5 linked regions of the Macaca mulatta genome follow. The protein of the gene in region 3 purifies or fractionates together with the protein of the main gene of each other region. This does not show direct contact. Links are inferred from orthologs where the notes say so. Each region holds a gene or a part of one and is shown on either strand. Other genes may lie near its edges.

The links.
Region 1: the proteins of GSK3A (region 3) and PRUNE1 purify together in Homo sapiens (affinity purification with mass spectrometry; 3 studies listed by BioGRID and IntAct, with this or other methods). This does not show direct contact. The link is inferred for Macaca mulatta from reciprocal best matches to the Homo sapiens genes GSK3A and PRUNE1.
Region 2: the proteins of GSK3A (region 3) and AXIN2 purify together in Homo sapiens (affinity purification with mass spectrometry; 3 studies listed by BioGRID and IntAct, with this or other methods). This does not show direct contact. The link is inferred for Macaca mulatta from reciprocal best matches to the Homo sapiens genes GSK3A and AXIN2.
Region 4: the proteins of GSK3A (region 3) and GSKIP purify together in Homo sapiens (affinity purification with mass spectrometry; 7 studies listed by BioGRID and IntAct, with this or other methods). This does not show direct contact. The link is inferred for Macaca mulatta from reciprocal best matches to the Homo sapiens genes GSK3A and GSKIP.
Region 5: the proteins of GSK3A (region 3) and FRAT1 purify together in Homo sapiens (affinity purification with mass spectrometry; 4 studies listed by BioGRID and IntAct, with this or other methods). This does not show direct contact. The link is inferred for Macaca mulatta from reciprocal best matches to the Homo sapiens genes GSK3A and FRAT1.

Annotation. Positions count from the first base shown.
Region 1 is NC_133406.1:116,095,805-116,099,854, reverse strand, and holds the start of PRUNE1 (exopolyphosphatase PRUNE1), read left to right. Parts: upstream 1-1,250; 5' UTR 1,251-1,422; coding exon 1,423-1,461; intron 1,462-3,852; exon of another isoform or gene 3,853-4,050. UniProt on the Homo sapiens protein: Phosphodiesterase (PDE) that has higher activity toward cAMP than cGMP, as substrate. Plays a role in cell proliferation, migration and differentiation, and acts as a negative regulator of NME1. Plays a role in the regulation of neurogenesis.
Region 2 is NC_133421.1:75,316,479-75,320,567, reverse strand, and holds the start of AXIN2 (axin-2), read left to right. Parts: upstream 1-1,289; 5' UTR 1,290-1,517; intron 1,518-2,033; exon of another isoform or gene 2,034-2,173; intron 2,174-2,214; exon of another isoform or gene 2,215-2,487; intron 2,488-2,634; exon of another isoform or gene 2,635-3,499; intron 3,500-4,089. UniProt on the Homo sapiens protein: Inhibitor of the Wnt signaling pathway. Down-regulates beta-catenin. Probably facilitate the phosphorylation of beta-catenin and APC by GSK3B.
Region 3 is NC_133424.1:53,295,304-53,299,343, forward strand, and holds the start of GSK3A (glycogen synthase kinase-3 alpha), read right to left. Parts: upstream 2,801-4,040; 5' UTR 2,743-2,800; coding exon 2,460-2,742; intron 411-2,459; coding exon 223-410; intron 1-222. UniProt on the Homo sapiens protein: Constitutively active protein kinase that acts as a negative regulator in the hormonal control of glucose homeostasis, Wnt signaling and regulation of transcription factors and microtubules, by phosphorylating and inactivating glycogen synthase (GYS1 or GYS2), CTNNB1/beta-catenin, APC and AXIN1.
Region 4 is NC_133412.1:169,670,436-169,674,415, reverse strand, and holds the start of GSKIP (GSK3B-interacting protein), read right to left. Parts: upstream 2,801-3,980; 5' UTR 2,750-2,800; intron 1-2,749. Other genes in the region: ATG2B (autophagy-related protein 2 homolog B), read left to right, coding at 3,343-3,504. UniProt on the Homo sapiens protein: A-kinase anchoring protein for GSK3B and PKA that regulates or facilitates their kinase activity towards their targets.
Region 5 is NC_133414.1:109,362,608-109,366,809, reverse strand, and holds FRAT1 (proto-oncogene FRAT1), read right to left. Parts: upstream 2,801-4,202; 5' UTR 2,565-2,800; coding exon 1,725-2,564; 3' UTR 175-1,724; downstream 1-174. UniProt on the Homo sapiens protein: Positively regulates the Wnt signaling pathway by stabilizing beta-catenin through the association with GSK-3. May play a role in tumor progression and collaborate with PIM1 and MYC in lymphomagenesis.

The DNA of each region.
Region 1 (4,050 bases), on a different chromosome or scaffold from region 3:
CCCAGGCTCTGGGCGCGATGGCTGACGCCTGTAATCCCAGCACTTTGGGAAGCTGAGGCGGGCAAATCACGAGGTCAAGAGATTAAGACCAACCTGGCCAACATAGTGAAACCCCATCTCTACTAAAAATACAAAAATTAGCAGGGCGTGGTGGCACGCACCTGTAGCCCCAGCTACTCGGGAGGCTGAGGCAGGAGAATCACTTGAACCCGGGAGGCAGAGGTTGCAGTGAGCCAACATCCTGCCACTGCACTCCAGCCTGATGACAGAGCAAGACTCCGTCTGAAGAAGAAGAGGAAGAAGAAAAAACTGGCAGAGCAGGCAGGCGATCCAACACCCCTGTGCTCTGGATCGTGGTTCCACCACAGGCCTCTCATCAGTCACCTCCTCTCGATTTACAGCTGGGGAAGCAGGAAAAGCTGGTGTGAGGCTGATGGTAGGAAATAAAGCGATAGATAAATAAATGAGGGAATTTTTGATGATGAGTGTCCATTTATTTACAGTACTTGCACTACCCTGCGGCTGCAAAGTGGCAGTTAAGGGAGGCTGGAACCTAACTCTACATTCTGAAGGGTTCCCTAAAACTCTATGTACAGGGCCGCCACAGGATGAAACTTCAAGCAACTCTAAAGGCTGAAAGAGCAGTTGGAACAATTAGGGTGGCAGAGAGCAAAAAGTCAAGGTTACAACCGTCCAAGAAAGGAAGGAGAAGATATTTGCGGAGGCTGTAGGAAAAAAACAGGCTACAGAGTTGCAAAGGGAGAAGCAGCAGGAGTTGGCAGGAGACTGTAGGTGTTAGGTAAACAAGAGGGGTCAAAGATTATTCTAATGTTCTCCTAACATGAACAACCACAAAACTGGTTGAGATTGAATCAGTTTGGTAAAAGGCAGAATTTCGGGAAAGAAGATCTGTTTTGCCAAGTGTCATTTAAAATGTCAACCGGATGCTCGGTGTGATATATGGAAAGATGTTATACTTAGCCTGATCTGAGAGGGAAAGTTCAGATGCCACAATAATGGGTTACTGTGACACATACACATTTGTTTACCAAACAACGGATCCCTCAGAAAACGCTCCTTCCCTCGGTAGCTAGGGACATTGCGGAGCCGCAGGACTACGTTTCCCACGTCGCCCCACGCCACACCCACTTGGCCTCTCCGGAAAGACGTCCCAGGAGCCTCTGGGCGTAGAGCCCCGCCTCCGCCGCTGGGGGAGGGGCGACGCCAAGCTCGGGAGCACCCGGTTACGCACTTCCTCCCGGGGTCGGAGGCCGATTAGCCGTGTGGCGGGTTCGAGTCCCGCCTCCTGACTCTGGCCTCTAGCCCCTGAGTCCCGGGCGGGGTGCATTCGCCGGGGAAACCTCTCCTCGACCACGGGCACCTCTCCTCGACCAGGGGCGACGGCGTACTTTGGGCTTCATCATGGAGGACTACCTTCAGGATTGTCGAGCTGCTCTACAGGTAACCGATCCCTGTATGTGACTGTAAGGAATGGAGCACGGGGTCCAGGAAGGACGAAGACGTGGGATCTGGGGAGCCTCGACGGTCCGTGTGGAGGGAACACTGAGTTGTGGGGAGGGGGGTTGGGGCCTGATCAGGTTTGGGGCATGAGGAGCGAGGAGCGAGAAGCCAGCTTAGGAGCGTGAGAATGCTGCTTGCTTAGTCTCCCGGTTTTTGGCTCCCCGCCTTTGGGGTCCGCCCGAGAGCTGGGAGAAGTCTTGGGTCTGAATCCTGCATTTGAGCCTCTGCTTGCTGTCATCTCGGTCAGTTCCGTCAAAAGGACCAGGACTGTGCGACCGCCAGCCGAGCCCCGCGAGGTGTGTTTATTCTTTTCTCCCCGCCCCTCTTTGAGTTCTCCGCTTCCAAGGCCTCGCTTGGCCCACTGGCCTCCAGGTGAACCTCGCGGGTGTGGAGGGAACCGGTGCTCACGGCTTTATTTCCTCTGAATGGCGGTTTCTGTCTGGCGGGCTGAACTCATTTCTAAGTTAGAAGTAGTCACGGTATTTTACTTTAAGTCAGTGTTTTTAAACCAAGCATACATAATCCATCAGGCATATTTGTTGACCCACAACCAGCATTCCTTTGCCTCCAGGTTTCTCCTTTGGCCTTAACGCACACACATTACATAAAAATTCTCCACTTGGAAGGGATAAGCACAAAGTGTGTTTAGAATCAAAACCATAAATATGACTACTGAATGCTTTGTGGCTTATTTTTGGTGCTCTCTGAGCCAGTTGGACTCACCCAGCCATGCTGAGCCGTCATGAGGCATTAGGCTGTTATCCCCAGTTAGCAGCAAAAAGCTAACCAGAGACAGACTCCAGGAGGTCACCCGGCCCCTCTACTTTGAGTTATATTGCCCTGAAGAAACCTAGACAGATGGCTTGCTGAGCTTTCCTTTTTAGATATCGGAAACTCAACAAATTCCCCTGGGGGACAGATTCTGTTCTTTAACAAATCCTGAAAGTCACTTAATTCCTGCTGCAGACTCAGCTGCTGGAATAAATGAATTGTCTTCATATTGAATTGGGGAGAAGGTCCATTTTAACACCAATTACATAGACATTTTCCTTGTGAAAAACAAATTTGGGGAGTTATTTCAATGCATAAGGCCATTTGGAACCAATCCCTTTTTGTTACGTCTGATTCCACCACAGGACTAATGTAGAGTTTTGGGGGCACCATTCTAAGTGCTAAACAGTTGGATTCCCCCCCCCCAGTAACCCAAATGACTGGTCTCTTCCACCAAGTGGTAAAGTGCCCTTGGACCTGAAACCTCACTAAATAGTATTTCTTTGCATGCATCTATTCTCCAACATATATCCTCCAGAGCCTCCCCCCACCCCCAGGTTAGCAGTATATTCTCTATTTTTATTTTGTATTTGTTTATTTATTTTGAGCCAGGGTCTCACTCTGTTGCCCTGGCTGGAGTGCAATGGTGTGATCACCTCCCCGGCTCAAGTGATCCTCCCCCCGGCTCAAGTGATCCTCCCACCTCAGCCTCCCGAAAAAGCTGCGACTATAGGCAGTGCCACCATGCAGGGCTAATTTTTTGTATTTTTGTAGAGACAGGGTCTCGCCATGCTGCCCAATCTGGTCTCGAACTCCTGGACTCAAACAATCCCTCTGGCTTGGCTTCCCAAAGTGCTGGAATTATAGGTGTAAGCCACTGTACCCAGCCCTAATAGTATATTCTCTACAGCAATATGAAGCTGGAAAAATACTTGATTTTTCCAATATTGCTGGAATCCTGACCTTTCTCTACCTGCATTCATCCCCCAAGGAGCAAGATCTAGCTCTTCTTTCAAACTTGTGAACTTGTGAAAGTTGAGATTGTGTCTTAGAGCTTTCATCATCACATAGCCTCTCCAGGGCCTGGAGAAATGAGAAAATTAGACTCTAGGAAGGTTAACAGGTGAACTGATGGCAAGACATACTGGTAGATGCCAACAATTTAGATTGCTTTAATTTTTTTTTTTTTTTTTTTTTTTGAGATGAACTCTCACTGTCGCCCAGGCTGGAGTACAGTGGTGCAATCTTGGCTCACTGCAACCTCCACTTCCTGAATTCAAGCGATTCTTCTGCCTCAGCCTCCTGAGTAGCTGGGATTACAAGCTTGCGCTACCATGCCTGGATAATTTTTGTATTTTTAGTAGAGACAGGGTTTCACCATGTTGGCCAGGCTGGTCTCGAACTCCTGACCTCAAGTGATCTGCCTGCCTTGGTCTCCCAAAGTGCTGGGATTACAGGCATGAGCCACCACATCCAGCCTAGATTGCTTTAAATTATAGAAGTAGTAAATGTGTACTTTATGAATAAATTTAAATACCAAAGGGATATGGAATGAAAAAGATAAAGATCATTTTTCTTCTCTCCTCTCCATCCAGTTCTCCAGAGGACACCCTGTTAAGTTTCTTGTGTAAAGAGAGAGAGATGATTTAGACAGATACATTCTTAAGTTTGAATGTTCCTGTTAAACTACAGTTTAATTATAACTTTCAGAAAATCATGAATGCTCTTCTTTGCACAGAATAAAGACAGCTGGTAATC
Region 2 (4,089 bases), on a different chromosome or scaffold from region 3:
TTGTTTGTTTTTGTTTTTGTTTTTAATAGGGAGTCTTGCTTTGTCACCCAGCCTGCCGTGCAGTGGCGCCATCTTGGCTCACTGCAACCCCCCACCTCCTAGGTTCAAGTGATTATCCTGCCTCAGCCTCCCAAGTAGCTGGGATTACAGGCACGCGCCACCACACTCGGCTGATCTTTGTATTTTTAGTAGAGACGGGGTTTCACCATGTTGGCCGGGCTGGTCTCGAACTCCTGACCTCAGGTGATCCTCCAGCCTGGGCCTCCCAAAATGTTGGGATTACAGGCGTGAGCCACCATGCCCGGCCCTTTATGTTTTTTAAAAGGAAGAAAAGTTAATTATTCGCTCATAAGGGATCATTCTATAGCAGCAGATGAATAAATACATAATGCTCTGGGTTTGTGACATACTTTCTCATTTTAAGGGAGAAGGTTGTGTGTGCCTTATAAACGTTTTGGGGAAATGTGGGAGAAATTCAAAGGTGACAATGGGGTGAGGAGTTTTCGATACATTAAAACGGCATGCCTTGTCGTTTGGAGTGGGAAAAAAGATATTCCATATCGGTTTAATATGTAACATATGGCAGAAGAGGGGACTTCGGAAGAGTAACGGGTATGCAGTTGTTTGGCAGAGATGGCCAATGTGTGCCGCTTTTAGGGTCTTATGGCCAGCAGGTTAGGAAGCTGGACTTAGGTCTTCAGGGCACTGAGGTATGCCTCCTAACTGGTGTTAGCACTCAGGCCTATACTGGCGGATTCACACCCCACCTTCACACATGTACAAACGCAATTCATCCACCAACTGCAGTCCTATATTTACCCGAACTCAGATAGATGCACGTGCACAATCGCGCACAGGCATGCACACGCCTCCAGCGGCTGGCCCCGAGTCCGCCCTATGACAGCGGGCCAGCCAACCCCAGGGCCAGAACTCCCTTTATAAAGTCCTCCAAGCCCAAATTCCCAGGGAAACTTGAATAGAAGTAGAAAAGTGTTTGATGATAGAAAAAAAAAAATCTGCTTGCTTGCAGTTCTTGCGATGGCCATAATGCTACAAGAAACTGTTGCATTCCAGAGCGGGGGAGAGCGAGGGCAGGCAGGGGGTGGAGGCGGGAGCAAAGAGGCCGGAGAACTTGAAAGAAGAAATCAGAACTCGGGCTGAGAACGCCCTCCGGGCCGCGGGGGGCCGGCAGGGGGCGGAGGAGAAGCAGGGGAAGGGTTAACGCGGGAGCGGAGCGTGCGGCGGGGGCGGACCGGGGCGGGGCGGGGCGGGAGCGGGGCGCTGTCCCTTTAAGGCGGGCGGCGCGGGCCGGCCGAGCGCGGCTGTGATTGGCGCGGCGGGATCACTGGCTCCGCGAGCCCGGCCCGGGGGAGTCGGCTGGAGCCGGCTGCGCTTTGATAAGGTCCTGGCAACTCAGTAACAGCCCGAGAGCCGGGAAATAAAAATAACCCCTCAGAGAGATGGATTTCGGGGCCGCCCGGCGGCCGAGGCGCCCGCCGAAGGCCCTGCTGTAAAAGGTGGGGGTGGAGGCTCGGCCCCAGCTGAGCCGCTTCAAAGAAAGCCCCCCTCGGACAGGGGGCGAGGTCGCGCCGAGCCGCGGCGTGGGCGCTGGGGGCGGGAGGGGGCCCGGCCAGGCGGAGGCCGGCCCTAGAGGGGGTCGCGGGCGGGGCGGCCCTGAGGAGCAGCGGCGGGGCTGTGGGGGGCGGCCCGGGGCGCGGCCGGCGCGTACCTCCCTTTCAGGACCGTGCGCTCGGCTCGCGCCTTTGAAGTGCACAGTTAAATCCACAGCGCAGTTTTTGTTGGAAGCGCCCGGAGGACATTTGGTGCGCCGAGTGACTGCTGGAAACAGGACCTGCGTTGAAAGCCGGGCCGGGCGGGGGCCGCAGGGGCCGGGGACGGCCGCGGCGGGGGCGGAGGCCCGCTCGGATCTTTTGCATAAAAGGGGCGGCGGGGCGCGCCGCTCCCCCTCCCCGGCCGGTGGCTCTCGCTCTGATCCCGGGATTGTTGTTTCCCGCACCCCCTCCCCCGCCGCGCGACTCCCCATGTTCCCCGACGCCGCAGCCGGCCCGGGGGGGCCTGGGGCTGCCGCCGCGAGCCGAGCCGGGGGCCGGGGCCGGGCCCCTGCCAGGGGCGCCTGCGAGGTCTCGCCGCGGATCGCGCGCGGGGATCAATGGTGAGTGCCGAGGCCGAGGCAGCCGGGCGGCCCGCGCGCTTTGATGTGCGGGGCGGCCCTTTGAAGTTGGCAGGCCGGCTATTTTGGGGCGCGCTAGGGGCAGGCGCTGAGGGGAGCGGCGGACCCCAGCGCCCAGCCTTCCCGGGGGACTTGGCCGGGCAGCCCCGCGCGCCCTGCGCCGGAGCCCCCTCCCCAGCGCGGGGACCGGGTTGGCGGGGGGCCGGGAGAGGAGACTTCTCCGAGTGGCTGCAGTGGCGGGGGCGGAGAGCGGGCAGATACCCCCCGGGGGTCGCGTCGCTGTCGCGGTTATGGATGTGAGTCGGGGTGTGAGTGCGCGCGGGAGTGCCTTTGAGAGGTGGGATGAAAGGGTAGCGGCGCCCCCCGCTTGCCCTCCCCCCGCCCCCCGCCTCTTCTCCGCCCCATCCTCTCCTCCTACTTCTCTCCCCCTCCCCTTCTCCCCTCCCTGCTGCGGGTCCGCGCTAAGGGGCCCACAGAGCTGGCGGAGGCTCAGTCTGCGCGCAGGACCGGCCCAAGTCCGGGGCGCCCGCGTCCCTCGCGTCCCTTCTCCCCGCCCGGGCCCCGCGCCCGTGGCCGCCCCGGCCCCTTTTGCGGAGAGGCAAGGACTCCGCGCGTCGCCATTTCTGTACTAGGCTGCTGCTTTCTGTGCTTTTTCTGCGGGCGCCTCTGCGAGCGGCGGCGCTGGGGACCGACCCCCCGCCCGGGCACGGGACGCTGCTGGCGCGTCCCGGGGCTCCGGCCTCGAGGTGTGCCCGCCGGGGCTCTGGAGGCGTTCGGTTGCATTCGGGCCGGGGGACCGGGCCGGAGGGGCTCGGAGGACATGAGAGCCCGGCCTCGGCGGCCTTCGTCTTCCAGGTAACGGGGCCGCCCCACCTCCCTGCCGCCCGGGTAGCGCGGTGCTAACGGCAGCCCCACTACTCCGTGGGCCACGCCGCCCAGCCCCGCGGCTCGAAGCTTCGGTCGGGGTCAGCGTGCACCCATCCCAGACCCGGGGTCCCTGGCTCCTTGCCCGGGGTTGCACCCCGTCCCCCGGTCCGCCCCTACCCTTCCTAGTTTGATCCTTTCCGTGCTAGGAAAAGCAGCTTGTTTATTGGTTAGATAAGACTTTTTTCTTTTGGAAAAAAGACAGGCTTGAAATCAGTAGAGTTTGGGATTCTTGACACAGGCAGTAGTGGCGTGAGATGGCTGGTGATCCAGTTTTGTAGGTTTCGCGGCTCGCGGAGGTGGGTTGGGGGCACGGGGGCGACGGTTCCGAGTCCGAGGCTTCTCAGCTCTCTCTCAAAGTTTGAAGATCAAAGTTTCCACTGAGTGAGTTGGTTTCTGGTTTGGGGGAGGTCAGGGAAGACAGAGGTGTTGACTGAGCTGGATTCTTGGCGGGGGTAGGGGGCGCGCAGCGAACACTCACATCTGAGTTGGGGAGGGGGCGTTTGCGTGCTGAATCTGGGAGTCCGGGAGCCCAATCCGCCTATGCTGGGCGGGCTTCTCTCGGACGAGGATCTTCTGAATTTTTAAGGAGTGGGAAGAGGGAGCGCAGAGGGAGGGGGCGGGTGGGGAGAATGGGAACCAGATGCCGGGGAAGGGCACGTTTGGAGCTCGAGTTATCTGTGCAGAGCCGAGTGGGGAAAATTTACCGAAATTGGTTTCACCTGCACACAGCCTAGCGGCTGGGAGTGCGCCTTTTTGGAGTTGATGGTATCGGGGGAGGGGAAAGTAGGGGAAGCGAGGCGCGGGCTGAGCTGCCCTGCGTGCGCCCTGGCCGAGTGGGTTTTTGGAAGGTTGTGTCTTACACCTCCGATGTCCCCCTGCCGCCCCCAGCACTTGCCCTCCTCTCACCTTCCCCGCCTCTCCCAACAGCTCCCTCCCACCCCCAACCCCGAAAAGTGTGCAGGGAGCTCAGA
Region 3 (4,040 bases):
AAGCACTTACATTGAGCAAATGCCCAGTAAAAGCTCTGGGCTCTCCTGGGATCCACATTTCCCATCTCATTTCCTCTTTTCCCCACGTCTCATTTCCTCTTTTCCCCACTTTCTCTTCTGGTCCATGGCTCTGAAACCTAAGCCTCCAGCTCTCTGGCTGGGGTTCTCCCACCAGTCACACCAAGTCCCCAAACCTCCCTGTCCCCATCCCGCCCAAGCTACCTTGAACCTCTTGTCCTGGAGAACCTTCTTGATGGCGACCAGTTCCCTGGTCTCTGCCAGCCGTGCCTGGTACACGACCCCAAATGAGCCATTGCCAATCACTTTGATGTCTGTGTAAGCCACCTCTTGGGAGCGCTCTGGACCTTGGCCTAGAGTGGCTACCACTGTGGTCACCTTCCCGCTGTCACCTGGGGAACAAAGGGGATACACGATCCACTGACCCATCCTGTCTGCGCATCACCCCATCCTGGGGCTGTAGGAGGAAGGGAAATCTCTGCAGGAAGCTCGTTGGGGACCTCTTTGTTCCCTCCTCCTCTTTGAGGAAAGGTGGATGCTGGAACCTTCCCAGTGACTTTTCAAACCCTCTTCCTTTCTGGGAACCTTAAATCCTGCCCCCCCTCCACATGGGAGGATATTGATACCTAAATCTCTCTGCTTCAAGGGCTGGCAACCCCAAATTTCTACTTCTAGGAAGCAATAGATCACTGGTCGTCTTGGTACTGGGAGACATCAGATGTTGACTCCATCTACTCTGGATCTACTGCCCTCTGGCCCCTCCTCTTTGGAGAAAGCTTGACCTGGCCTCTTCCACTTAAGGGAGCAGTAACCCTCAGGTACTCCTACTTCAGGAAAACACTAACCTATCTCACAGCCTAGAGGATACTAACCTCTAAGTCCTCCCCTGTAGAGCTGGTAACTTCACTGGTTCTTGGTGACAGAAATGAATGTCCTCTCCTGCTGTATGTACCAGTGCCCTGACCCTCACTTTTTGGTACTTTGAGGTTAGAAAAAAACACTGACCTGACCTCTTCATCTGAGTGGTCCAGAGACCCAGACTCCTCCCCGTATGTGGGTGGTCCCTAATGGACAAGCACCAAATTATGAGAATGATGAACCTGACCTTTATTATCAAGGGGCTATTCCAGCCTCAGTCCTTTGAAGGAAAGCTATAATTTCCAATTCCCATTATTCAAATGGTAGCAAACCTTGGTGCCATTCTTAAAGGATAGTGACCCCTTTGAGTAACTGATGAACCAAATCCATTTTTTCTTTTTTTTTTTCTTTTCTTTTTTTTGAGACACAGTTTCGCTCTCGTTGCCCAGCTGGAGTGCAGTGGCACGATCTCGCCTCACTGCAACCTCCGCCTGCTGGGTTCAAGCGATTCTCCTGCCTCAGCCTCCCGAGTAGCTGGGATTACAGGCGCCCGCCACCACGCCCAGCTAATTTTTTGTATTTTTAGTAAAGACAGGGTTCCACCAGTTGTCCAGGCTGGTCTCAAACAGAACCTCAGGTGATCCGCCTGCCTCAGCCTCCCAAAGTGCTGGGATTACAGGCGTGAGCCACCGCGCCCGGCCACCAAATCCATTTTGAGGGGCCAGTGACATGTTCTTTCAGAGGGAGATAACCCTACATCACTATTTTTTTCAGAGCCAATGACACCATACCTTAGAACAATTATTGAACAAGTATAACCTTAGATCCATATTTTATAGGAAACTGTGACCTACCCTGCTCCATTCCATTTTTGTTAAAGGAGACACACCAAGCCATGTATTTTAAAACATGGACTATGGACTTGATTTGAAGGATATGCTGACTCCCAATGTCTTTAAGAAGCAGTAACTATTAATTCTCACCATTGGGGGTACAGCTCAACAATATTTAGGGTGGGTAATGATGCCAGGTCTTGGTTTTAATAGGGAAGGTGATCTGAGTACCAGGTTTGGCAAGCCTGGCCTTATTCTTTGGGGACACAACACAGTAACCTCAAAGCCCTGCTTCTAAGTGATATTCACTCCAAATCCTCATCTTCTGAAGGACAGCGAATGCAGATCCCTCTTTTTCGCGATTGGTCTTATTCTTGTTCTCTTAGGAGACAATAACCCTAAATCCCCATTTGCAAGCGACTGTGACCTCTGATCCAATATTATAATGAGTAGCAACGTCAGATACCTGTTCTTAAGGCTCAAGGACCCAAGATCTCAATAATGAAAGAACAGGGACTTGTAACCCCTGTTTCTTTGAGTGTTAGTAATTCTGATCCAAGAGTAATTCTGATCTCCAAGAGATGGTAACCCCAAGACCCCTTTTCCTGGGAGGAAGAGGGCTCAGATCCCCGATTTGGGGAGGCATAGTGACCTCTGGCTCCTACCTAAGCATATGAAAGAACCTGATGGATGTCTGAGGAGCTTTGGGAACCCTGATCACCACCCTACACGGGCGCCGCTAGTACTCACGGCCCAGCTTCACCCCGGGCGGCGGGAAGCTAGTGCCTGCGCCGGGGCCTCCGCTGCCTCCGCCGCCGCTGCCGCCGGGTCCACCCCCGGAGCTCGAGGCCCCGACGCCCCCACCCATGGCCCCGACAGATGCCTTTCCGCCGCCGGTGCCGCCTGGGCCGGAGGCCGAGCCTCCGGGGCCGCCGCCGCCGCCTCCGCCTCCGCCGCCTGGCTCCGCGAACGAGCTGGTCCGCGCCCTGCCCGAGCCCCCAGGGCCGCCTCCCGAAGGCCCGCCGCCGCTCATGGCGCCGAGCACAGGCCCAGGCCGCGGGGCTCGGGCTCCCCGGGCTGCCCCAGCCGCCGCCGCTGCCGCCGCCTCCCCCGGGCTCTGGCCTCTTCCAGGCCGCGCCGCTCGGGTTTGGGCTCCGGCTCCGGCCCAGCGCCCGCCGCGGGGCACGCCGGGAGATGCAGTCCGGCTGTCGTCCGCGCCGCCGTCGCCGCCCTCGGCCCGCACAGAGAGCCCCGTGGCACGCCGGGAAATGAAGTCCACAAAAGCCTCAGAGTAGACCGCGGGAATGACGGGTCGCGCTATACGTCGGGAAATGGAGTCCAGGGTAATCTGTCTGCCGACGGTACGACGGGGAGCCCTGAAGTATTTCGGGAAGCAGAGAGCCTGATGCACGCTGGGAAACAGAGTCCACTCACTCAGTTTATTGGCTGTGTGTGCGTCCCAGAGCCCGGTGCGCTCTGGGAAATTGAGTCGGCGCGCGTGAACCTGCGGATCTCGGGCCGTGAAGCAAGCCGGGAAATGGAGTCATCGCCACGCCCTCACCGCATTGCAGGTGTAAAGCGATTCTTAAAGCACGCCGGGAAATGGAGTCCCAGGTGGTTTCTTAAGTCCCAAGTGGATACTGCAATTCCGGAGATGGGAGAGGAAATGGAGTAAATTTCGCGCTTCTCTTCCCAGGTACGCTAGGCCGCAGTCCCTGCCGGGAAGTGTAGTCAACACCAAGGCTTCAGTGCAGTTGCCACAGCGAGCCCTGGTGTGTTCTGGGAAATGGAGTTCAAGGCATCCTCCCCATTGACTGAGGGGGCGGGATCGCCCATGAGCTCCAAGCCTGCTGGGGAATAGTCCAGACCTGACCCTTTGTGAGGCCAGTTTGCGGAGGCTTGTCGGGAAGCGGAGTCCAATGGCCACCATCGGGGGCGTGGAGCGAAAGGTTAGAGACTGCAGTAGTTCCCTGGAGAGACTTAAAAGTGTTTCAGCCCCTCCTTCCTCGCCCCCAGGTTCTTCTTAAAGAAAGAGGCGAGGTCGATCAAGGACTGCTGGAAAATGGAGCCAAGCACCTTTAAGTTCCAGGTGACCATAGATCAAGAAAGAAAAAATGTCCCCTCTCTAACCGCAACTCTGCAAAGAATTCGGGAAACAAAGTTCCCGGCGGTTTCTCCGAACACTAACTAGTCTTCGGATACAGTCTAGCTTTTCCTAGCAATGTGGTTCGCACCAGGAAGCTGAATGGAGCATTAAAAAGACGGAAATAGAATTTCTGGGCCGGGCGCGGTGGCTCAGGCTGGGTGCCGGTGGCTCACGCCTGTGATCCC
Region 4 (3,980 bases), on a different chromosome or scaffold from region 3:
ATAGCTGCTGAAAGAAGTTCAAATCGTATCTATTTGTCAGAAGTCTATTTCAAACCTTCCAAAGCCTATTCTAATTTATTGCCGGATAAGATCCCACCTTTGACTTTTCACACCACCTTGCTTATATTCCTTTTATGGCAAATATTAGAATTATTATTTGCAAACATGTTTTATCTTCAAAATATATCCAGAATCCAACAGCTTCTAACTAATCATCTTCACTGCTACCATTTTGGTCCAAACCACTGTCATCTTTTCCTTGGATTACTACTACGATATCCTTCTAACTGGTTTTGTTGTTTTCACTCTGGTCCTCCCACTTCCACACCAGACTATTCTTAACATAGCAGTTAGCATGATCCCATAGAAACTGAGGCCATATTACGTCACTTCTCTCCTAAATCCACCTCACCCAGAGTAAAGGCCAAAGTTCTTTTTTTTTTTTTTTTTTTTTTTAAAGACAGAGTCTCACTCTGTTGCTCAGGCTGGAGGGCTGGAGTGAAGTGGCATAATCTCCGCTCACTGCAACCTCCGCCTCCTGGGTTCAAGCGATTCTCCTGCCTCAGCCTCCCAAGTAGCTGGGATTACAGGTGCATGCCACCACACCTGACTACTTTTTAATATATTTTTGGTAGAGACAGGGTCTCACCATGTTGGCCAGGCTAGTCTTGAACCCCTGACCTCAAGTGATCTGCCCGCCTTGGACTCCCAAAGTGCTGGGATTATAGGAGTGAGCCACAGTGCCCGGCTCCAAAGTTCTTATCAAAGGCCCAGGAGGCCCTACATGATGTGCTTCCTCTGCGCCCCCAGCCCCCAACTGCCCAGCTTCTACTTTTTCCTTCACTCACTCCTGATGTTCCCTAAACTCATCAAGCATTCTCCTGTGACAGCACGTTGCACTTGCTGTTCCCCTTGCGTGGAAAACAACTCTTCCAGGTATACGTGTGCCTCACTTCCCAGCTTTCTCCAAGTTTCTGCTAAAATGTAATCTTATTAAATAAGAGAATGTCTCTTACCATCTCATATAAAAATGGCAAGTCCCTTCTCTCTTCCCCATCTCCATCCCCTTTACAATGCTTTTGTTTTTCCAACAGCCCTTATCACCACAAAGCATATTATTCACTCATTGATTGCATGTTTCTCCTCCCTTCAATAAAACGTAAGTTCCGGGAAGGAAGAGACTTATCTGTTCACTGCTGTATCCCCAGCACCTAGAACAGTGCTTGGCACACAGAATGCAATCAATAAACATTTACTGAATAAATGAACAAACTTCCACTTTATTATTATTTTTTAAAGAGACAGGGTCTTGCTCTGTGGTTCAGGCTGGAGTGCAGTGGCATAATCGTAGCTCGTAAGATCCTTTCTGATATTTGAAATTGCAGGCAGTCTATGGATAGCCTGAATGCAATTCTGCAGCCTCAAACTCCTTGGCTCAAGCGATTCTTCCGCCTCAGCCTCCAGAGTAGCTGGGACCACAAGCAGGCACCACCATGCCCAATGACCTTCCACTTTAGAACATAAACTCCTTGAAGGTTCTGCCTGATTCTTGATACTGTTCACATCATCAACTGTGGTGACGTTCATTTAACAGACCTTAACAAAATTTTTGAGTGAAGAGCAAGGGAATCTAAGTTACTGAGAATACTTGGGGTAAGTCTACAAGGAATTAGGGGAATCAACAATCCAAGCAACTGCATACAGAGCACCCTGATTCTAAAACGAAAAGGTGGTTGTGGAAAGCGGAATCAGATGTTTCTCCATCTATCAACATTTTGGGCAGTATTTCCAAGGCATTCATGAAAGTTGCTGAGACAGTAAATATTTCACTCCTTAAACTGCTCGTCTTAATTCACTGGGATTAAACAGCTGTATGTTTCAGGACTCTGTTCAGGTTCGTGCCCTACTCATATCATTTAATCTTCCTAATAAATCCATGCACATAAGATTTTAATCCACTGACACTGGGCAAAGGAGGCAACGTGGACTCGGGGAGGGCAGTGGCCGGCTCAAAGTGGCTGGGCTAATAGGTGTCAGTGCCAGGATTCTAACCCAGGACATTTGGCTTCTGGGCCATCGAACACCGGCACCCAGGCCTTTCGAGGTTGACTAACTTAAGAGCCGGCTCCGCCTCTGCAGGAGTTGCCTCCCAAAAGGCAGAAATACGATTGCGCAGACGACCAGAACAGCCCAAGTTCTTCACCCAGGTTCCCGCGGGATCAGGAGCCTTCAACATTTCTCAAGGAATGCAGTTTTGCCCACAGATGCTTCGAAAACCCAAGTTTCCTGATCGTTGGTATGACACACCCAGGATTAAGCGAGCGTATGCGAGAAGCGCTCTGCAAACCGCCAGGCGAACGGCAACGAAGAGGAAGCCTCGGAAACAATACCTGAACGAGGCGGGGGCTGAAGAACTTGCTGACAATGGGCACCGGTCAATGCTTGGGGGCGGGCGGGGATGTTCAAGAAGGGCTCCAGTCCTCCCCGCGGAGACGGCGGAGCCCCAAGCGTGCGTTTCTGGGGCGCCGAGGTCTGAGGGGGGGCCGGGAGAGCCAGGTCGGTCTTAACAAGCCCCCAGACCCCTCTTAACACCGGCGCGGGGCCCCTGCAGCCTGCCGCCCCTCTCGGCCCAGCCCGCTGCGCGGCGTCGCGTCCCCGTCCGGAAGGCCCCACGGCCCGCCGGCGCCCCGAGCCCCTAGCCCTTGTCAGAGGCCGCCCCTCGCCCGCAGCCCGCCCGGCGGCTGCTTACCTGCGCACCCGGCGTCCTCTGCTTCTTCCCTCCGGAGGCGACTGGAGCCGACCGGCGGTGCCGCCCCCTCCCTCCCCGCCCTCGCCCGCCCCGCCCCCTCGGAGCCGGAACTGCTCCAGCTCCCGCCCTTCTGCCCGCCTTCCGCGGCCCCCTGTGTGGTGTCACTTCCGCCAGCGCCCGACGGCGCGCCGGGAGTCTGGGTCTCGCGAACGCGCCGGAAGCGTCCCTACAGCCGGGAACGCGCCTCGCGGATGACAACAAATTCGTCGCGCGGCGGCAGTGGAGGTGTCTGCCTCAGCCTGTGCCGCCTCCCCTCGCGCTCTCTTGCACTTTCTCTGAGCCGGTTGGGATCTCCCTCGGAAGTCCCCTGGCCTGGGGCCAGGAGGACCCCACTGCGTCTTGCCTCCGCCAGGCCCAGCGCGAGCGGCGCGGCGCCGGCGATGGGGTCTCCCTGAGGAACTCCCGGCGCCAAACAGCGATGAAGGGGCCGCCCCAGGCTTAGGCCCCGCCGCGGCCTGGAGCCGGAGTCGCTACCCTGAGGCCGGAGCCAGCGCCACCCGCAGCCGCAGTCAGCCCAGCTGCCAGCAGTCACCATGCCTTGGCCGTTTTCGGAGTCTATCAAGAAGCGGGCCTGCCGGTACCTCCTGCAGAGGTACCTGGGCCACTTTCTGCAGGAGAAGCTGAGCCTGGAGCAGCTCAGCCTGGACTTGTACCAAGGCACCGGGTCCCTCGCCCAGGTCCCCTTGGACAAATGGGTAAGAGCTGCCGGGCAGCCAGCCGGGCGGGGCTCGCTCCCCTCTTTAGGGCGCTTTGAACCGGTGCCATCCAAGATTGGTGACAGTCATTCCCTCCTTGGGAATTGTTTGGACCCGAGTGTGGCACGGCTCAGATAAATGTGTTAGAGTGTTGTTTAATCTGTTTAACAAGTTTGCTCTCCTGAATCACGTGTTCCGGAAACTTAACAGATGTAATGGAATCTACACTATGGGAATAATTGAGTCAGTGCTTCGGGGGGTCTGTGAAGCAGGCTCAATAGGTCCGTGGGAGGAGGTGACCAGAATTGTCCCTTGGGATGTGAGGGGCCGCAGGGTTTTGTGGCAAACAAACCCTGCCTTGTGCGATGACATTCTGGAACGATTAAGGATGAAGAGGACCTCTGGATGTCAGAATCCCTAGTTATTGGTTTTGGGTTGGCCACTTGCACACCATGTTTGCCTTGTTTGTCATCGTG
Region 5 (4,202 bases), on a different chromosome or scaffold from region 3:
ACCCAGCTGCGGAGACCTTGTCTAGCTAGTGAGCTGCTCAGACACAAAGGCGCTCTAATTACCATCCGCAAGCCAGGCTGACAGGGATTTCAAGTGTTTTCATGTTTATGGAGATCAGAGAAATGTGTTCTGTACATCTTTTTCACCGATGGCAAGTATAAAATAAAACCAAACAAAAAACCCAACACATTTATTCAAAGCAGGCATTTCAGTTAAGTTAAAATCCTATAATCAGGATAGCCACAATTCCAGACACTCCGGTGCGAAGTGTAGATATGTCAGTAGCCACATCTGGATGATGAACAAGCCATTGACTATAAAAACGAGAACAACAGCACAGTCTCAGCGCCTTTAGAGTGAGTGAACAGTATGTTCCAAGCACTTCACCATGGTTCACAATGGCAAAGCCTGCAGCTTCTCCATTTGGAGGGTCACATTTTCTACTCGGTTTCCTGCACTTACAAAGGCCAGCTGGCATGGCTGGGGGAGGGGCAGAGGGAGGAAATCAACTCCGCTATCCAGGGAATTGCAGCTGTTATTGCAAATGGCCCCAGAGAGCCCATTATAAGCTGCTGTGCTAGGCTGTGTGTCCCTGGAGTGCCCATCACATGGCGTCTCCCTAGCCCCCAACCCAGGCCCCCAGGATCCCAGAGCCACCCGCTTGAGTAGGACAGCAGAGCCAAGTGGGAGAGGAGGAACCCGGGGCTCCGTCTCGGGAGTTTCCGTGAAAGCCCGGAGCGCGGCCAGGGGCGGTGGTCGCCTAGGGAAGCAGACGCCCAGCACGTCCGCGCTTTCCCACACCCGCGGTGGCGGCGGCGCGCGTGTCCTCAGGAGACTCCAGCACTTGCAAAAAACACTGCGCTCTTCTCCGAGCACGGGCAGAATCCGGCTACTCCGTCCCGCAACCCAGTGCGTGCCCAGGAAACAGTGACCTTGAACCCGAGGAGAGGCAGGCCGGCTGTGAAAATACACTTTAGAGAGCGCGTGGGGTTCACTCCGCGCCTCTCTACCCTTCCATCACCATTCAATACCCCCCGCCCCCATCTCCTGTCCCCACCCGTGTCGTACAGCCTTTCCCCCACCACTCTGAGAAAGGCAGACAGTTGCAAAGAGAGCGCAGGGGTTAACTCCTATTCAACCCTCAAAGGGTCCCTTCATGGCACCGCGTGTTTGATATTAAGCAGCACCTCCAAAGACACAAGATGGTTTTTTTAAGTGTTGAAAATATTCAAGTCTGGCAGATTGGGGTGCACCCTGAAATTATCTACTCATGTTCCCCTCCCCCAAAGTGGATCAGGAGCCAGCCCTGAAAAGGTAAAGCAAGTAACTGGCATCATCCTCAGTAGTTCCGGCGCGCCGCGATCCGGAGAAGCGTGGATTGTGGCCACATGGTCGCGGGGCTGGAGGGCACTGAGAGGCTGCGCGGAACTGCACGCTTCGCGGCTGGGTCGGGTCACTCCAAATAAGGAATCCTACTAACTTGTAAGCTTGGGGTGCGCTCTGTAAAATCCGCCTTAAATAGGGCCGAGTTCTGCATTTCAAATATTTTGGCCCTCAACCCCAGTTACCCGCGAAACATTCGCGATTTTTCTGTTCCTCGTCTTTAGCTTTTTTCTCCCACTTCCAAAAGCCAGAGTTCTCCACCAGCCTGAGCAGAATTGCAGCCCTCAGGGGAACCCCTTGCCCTCTAGTCTGAGGCTGGCGCTGTGGGCACCCCGGGCGTGTTAGCTGCCAGGGATAAGAACGCCGTCGCCAGTTCTGAGCTGCGCCCTCCCGGAGGCGCCAGGGTCACTGCAGGCCGCGCGAGGGCTGCGAGGTGAAGGGGGTTCATGCACCGGGGCCGACAGAGGTCCCAGGAGCGGGCGTTGGGGAAGCTTTGCACGTAACTGCAGCCGTCGCGAATGAAGCCTTCGCACGGCCTCCTTGATGAGGTTTCCAGAGAGCACTAGCTGCTGCAGGAGCCGGTGCGGGTCGTCGTCGCCTGTGCGGGTTTCTGGTTGGGACCCGCGTCGCTGCTGCAGGCGGCGGGAGGCGGCGGCGCCCCGGAGCCATCCTCGCCGGCACGGACCCGACAGCGGCTGCGGGACGCCCTGCTTGCCAGCACCCGGAGGCCCATCGAAGTCGGCCTGAGGGGGCAGTGGGCACAGCGCGCTGGGGCCTGTGGCGAGCTCCGCCACGCAGTAGGGCGCAGCGCGGCCCCGCACGCGGCCGCGGTCCCCCAGGGCGCAGCGCAGGACCCCAGGGGGCGCCGGGCCCACAGTCTCAGCCGACGCGGGAGGCAGCAGCAGCGGCACCGCAGGGGGCCTGGCCTTGTCCGCCGGCACCGCCGCAGCCAGGGGTCCCGGGGCCCGCAGCGGCGCCCCCGGGGGTGCGCACGGCGAGGCCGGGCTGTCCTGCGCCGCGTCCAGCTGCAGCGTCTCGCCGATCTGGGCCACCAGCCGGTCCACCTCGCCCGAGCTGCCCAGCGCCACCGACTGCTGCAGCAGGAGGAAGCTGTCCTCCTCCTCTTCCTCCCCCTCCGCCTCCTCGCCAGCTTCCTCTTCCTCCTCCCTCCGGCAAGGCATGGCCCCCTGTCCGGGCACCCGGAGCTGTGCGGGCGTCGCTGGGGGCTCGACTGCCGGCGGGTGCGGTGGGCCGCGGCGGAGCGGGCGCGGAGCTGAAGACGATGCCGGGGCCGTGGCCGGGGCCGGGGCAGGGGCCGTGGCGGACGCGGAAGCCGGAGCCCGCCAGTCACTCCAGCCGCGCGCCTGCAGCCGCGGGAGCCGGAATCCTGCCGGCTCGGCTTGATTTGTAAACAATGGGTGACGTCGCGCTGGGCCCTACCACCGCGCCGGGGAGGGGGTGCTGTGCCGCTGGGGGACGGGGCTTCTGCGGGACTGGGGGTCTGGGTGAAGCCGGACTGCCTTCTGAGCTCCTTCGCTCAGGGTGCTGTCTGCAAGGGCGCCCTGGGGACCTGATCCTGGCTCCCGCAGTCGGGCGCGGTTGGCATTTCCAGAAATGGACACCAGCGTGGACCTTGTTGGTTTCTTCCACACACAAGCACACACACACAGTAACACACACACACCGACCCACACACCCCTTCTCTCCGTGCGTCAACTCAACCGGGTTTTAGCGTTTGCGCTTTTGAGGTCCGGCATGCGGGTGTCTGGTGAGGATGGAAAGGAAAGGGAGTCAGGCTAGGGATTTGTACGGAGATTAGGGAAACTGACGGGAATGGGAAGGAAGAAGGGGACCTTGTCGTGCGATGGAGGTGGCAGAGTTGGAAATGGCAAAGAAAGGCCACGGATTAATGTTTCTTGATCGAGATCCTGGGCGGATGGGGGCCTGGATGGGGTTGGCATTGCTGGAGAGGAGGAGGTTGCTAGTCTTTTTTGTTTGTTTGTTTTTGAGAGGGAGTCTCGCTCTGTCGCCCAGGCTGGAGTGCAGTGGTTTCATCTCCACTCACTACAACCTCCGCCTCCTGGGTTCAAGCAAATCTCCTGCCTCAGCCTCCCGAGTAGCTGGAATTACAGGCGCCCACCACCACGCCGGCTAATTTTTGTATTTTTAGTAGAGACGGGGTTTCACCATGTTGGCCAGGCTGGTCTCGAACTCCTGACCTCAGGTGATCCACCTGCCTCAGCCTCCCAAAGTGCTGGGATTACAGACGTGAGCCACTGTGCCCGGCCTAGGTTGCTAGTTGCTAGTCGTTTTTTTTTTTTTTTTGAGACAGAGTTTCGCTCTTGTTGCCACAACCTCCACCTCCTGGGTTCAAGCAAGTCTCCTGCCTCAGCCTCCTGAGTAGCTGGATTACCGGCATGTATCACCATGCCCGGCTAATTTTGTATTTTTAGTAGAAATGAGGTTTCTCCATGTTGGTCAGGCTGGTCCCAAACTCCCGACCTCAGGTGATCCACCTGCCTCGGCCTCCCAAAGTGCTGGGATTACAGGCGTGAGCCACTGCACCCTGCCTTTTTTTTTTTTTTTTTTTTTTTTTTTTTTAATTGAGACAGATCTCCTTCTTTCACCCAGGCTGGAGTGCAGTGGCACGATGTTGGCTCACATCAAAGGAGTTTTATTCATAAAAGCCAAAAGTGAAATGGCCCAAGTGTTCATCAACAGGTGAATAGACAAACAACCTATTGTACATTCACACAGGATGATGACAGAAAACAGTTCAGCAACAAAGAGGACTGAATATTGCTGCATGCAGTAACATG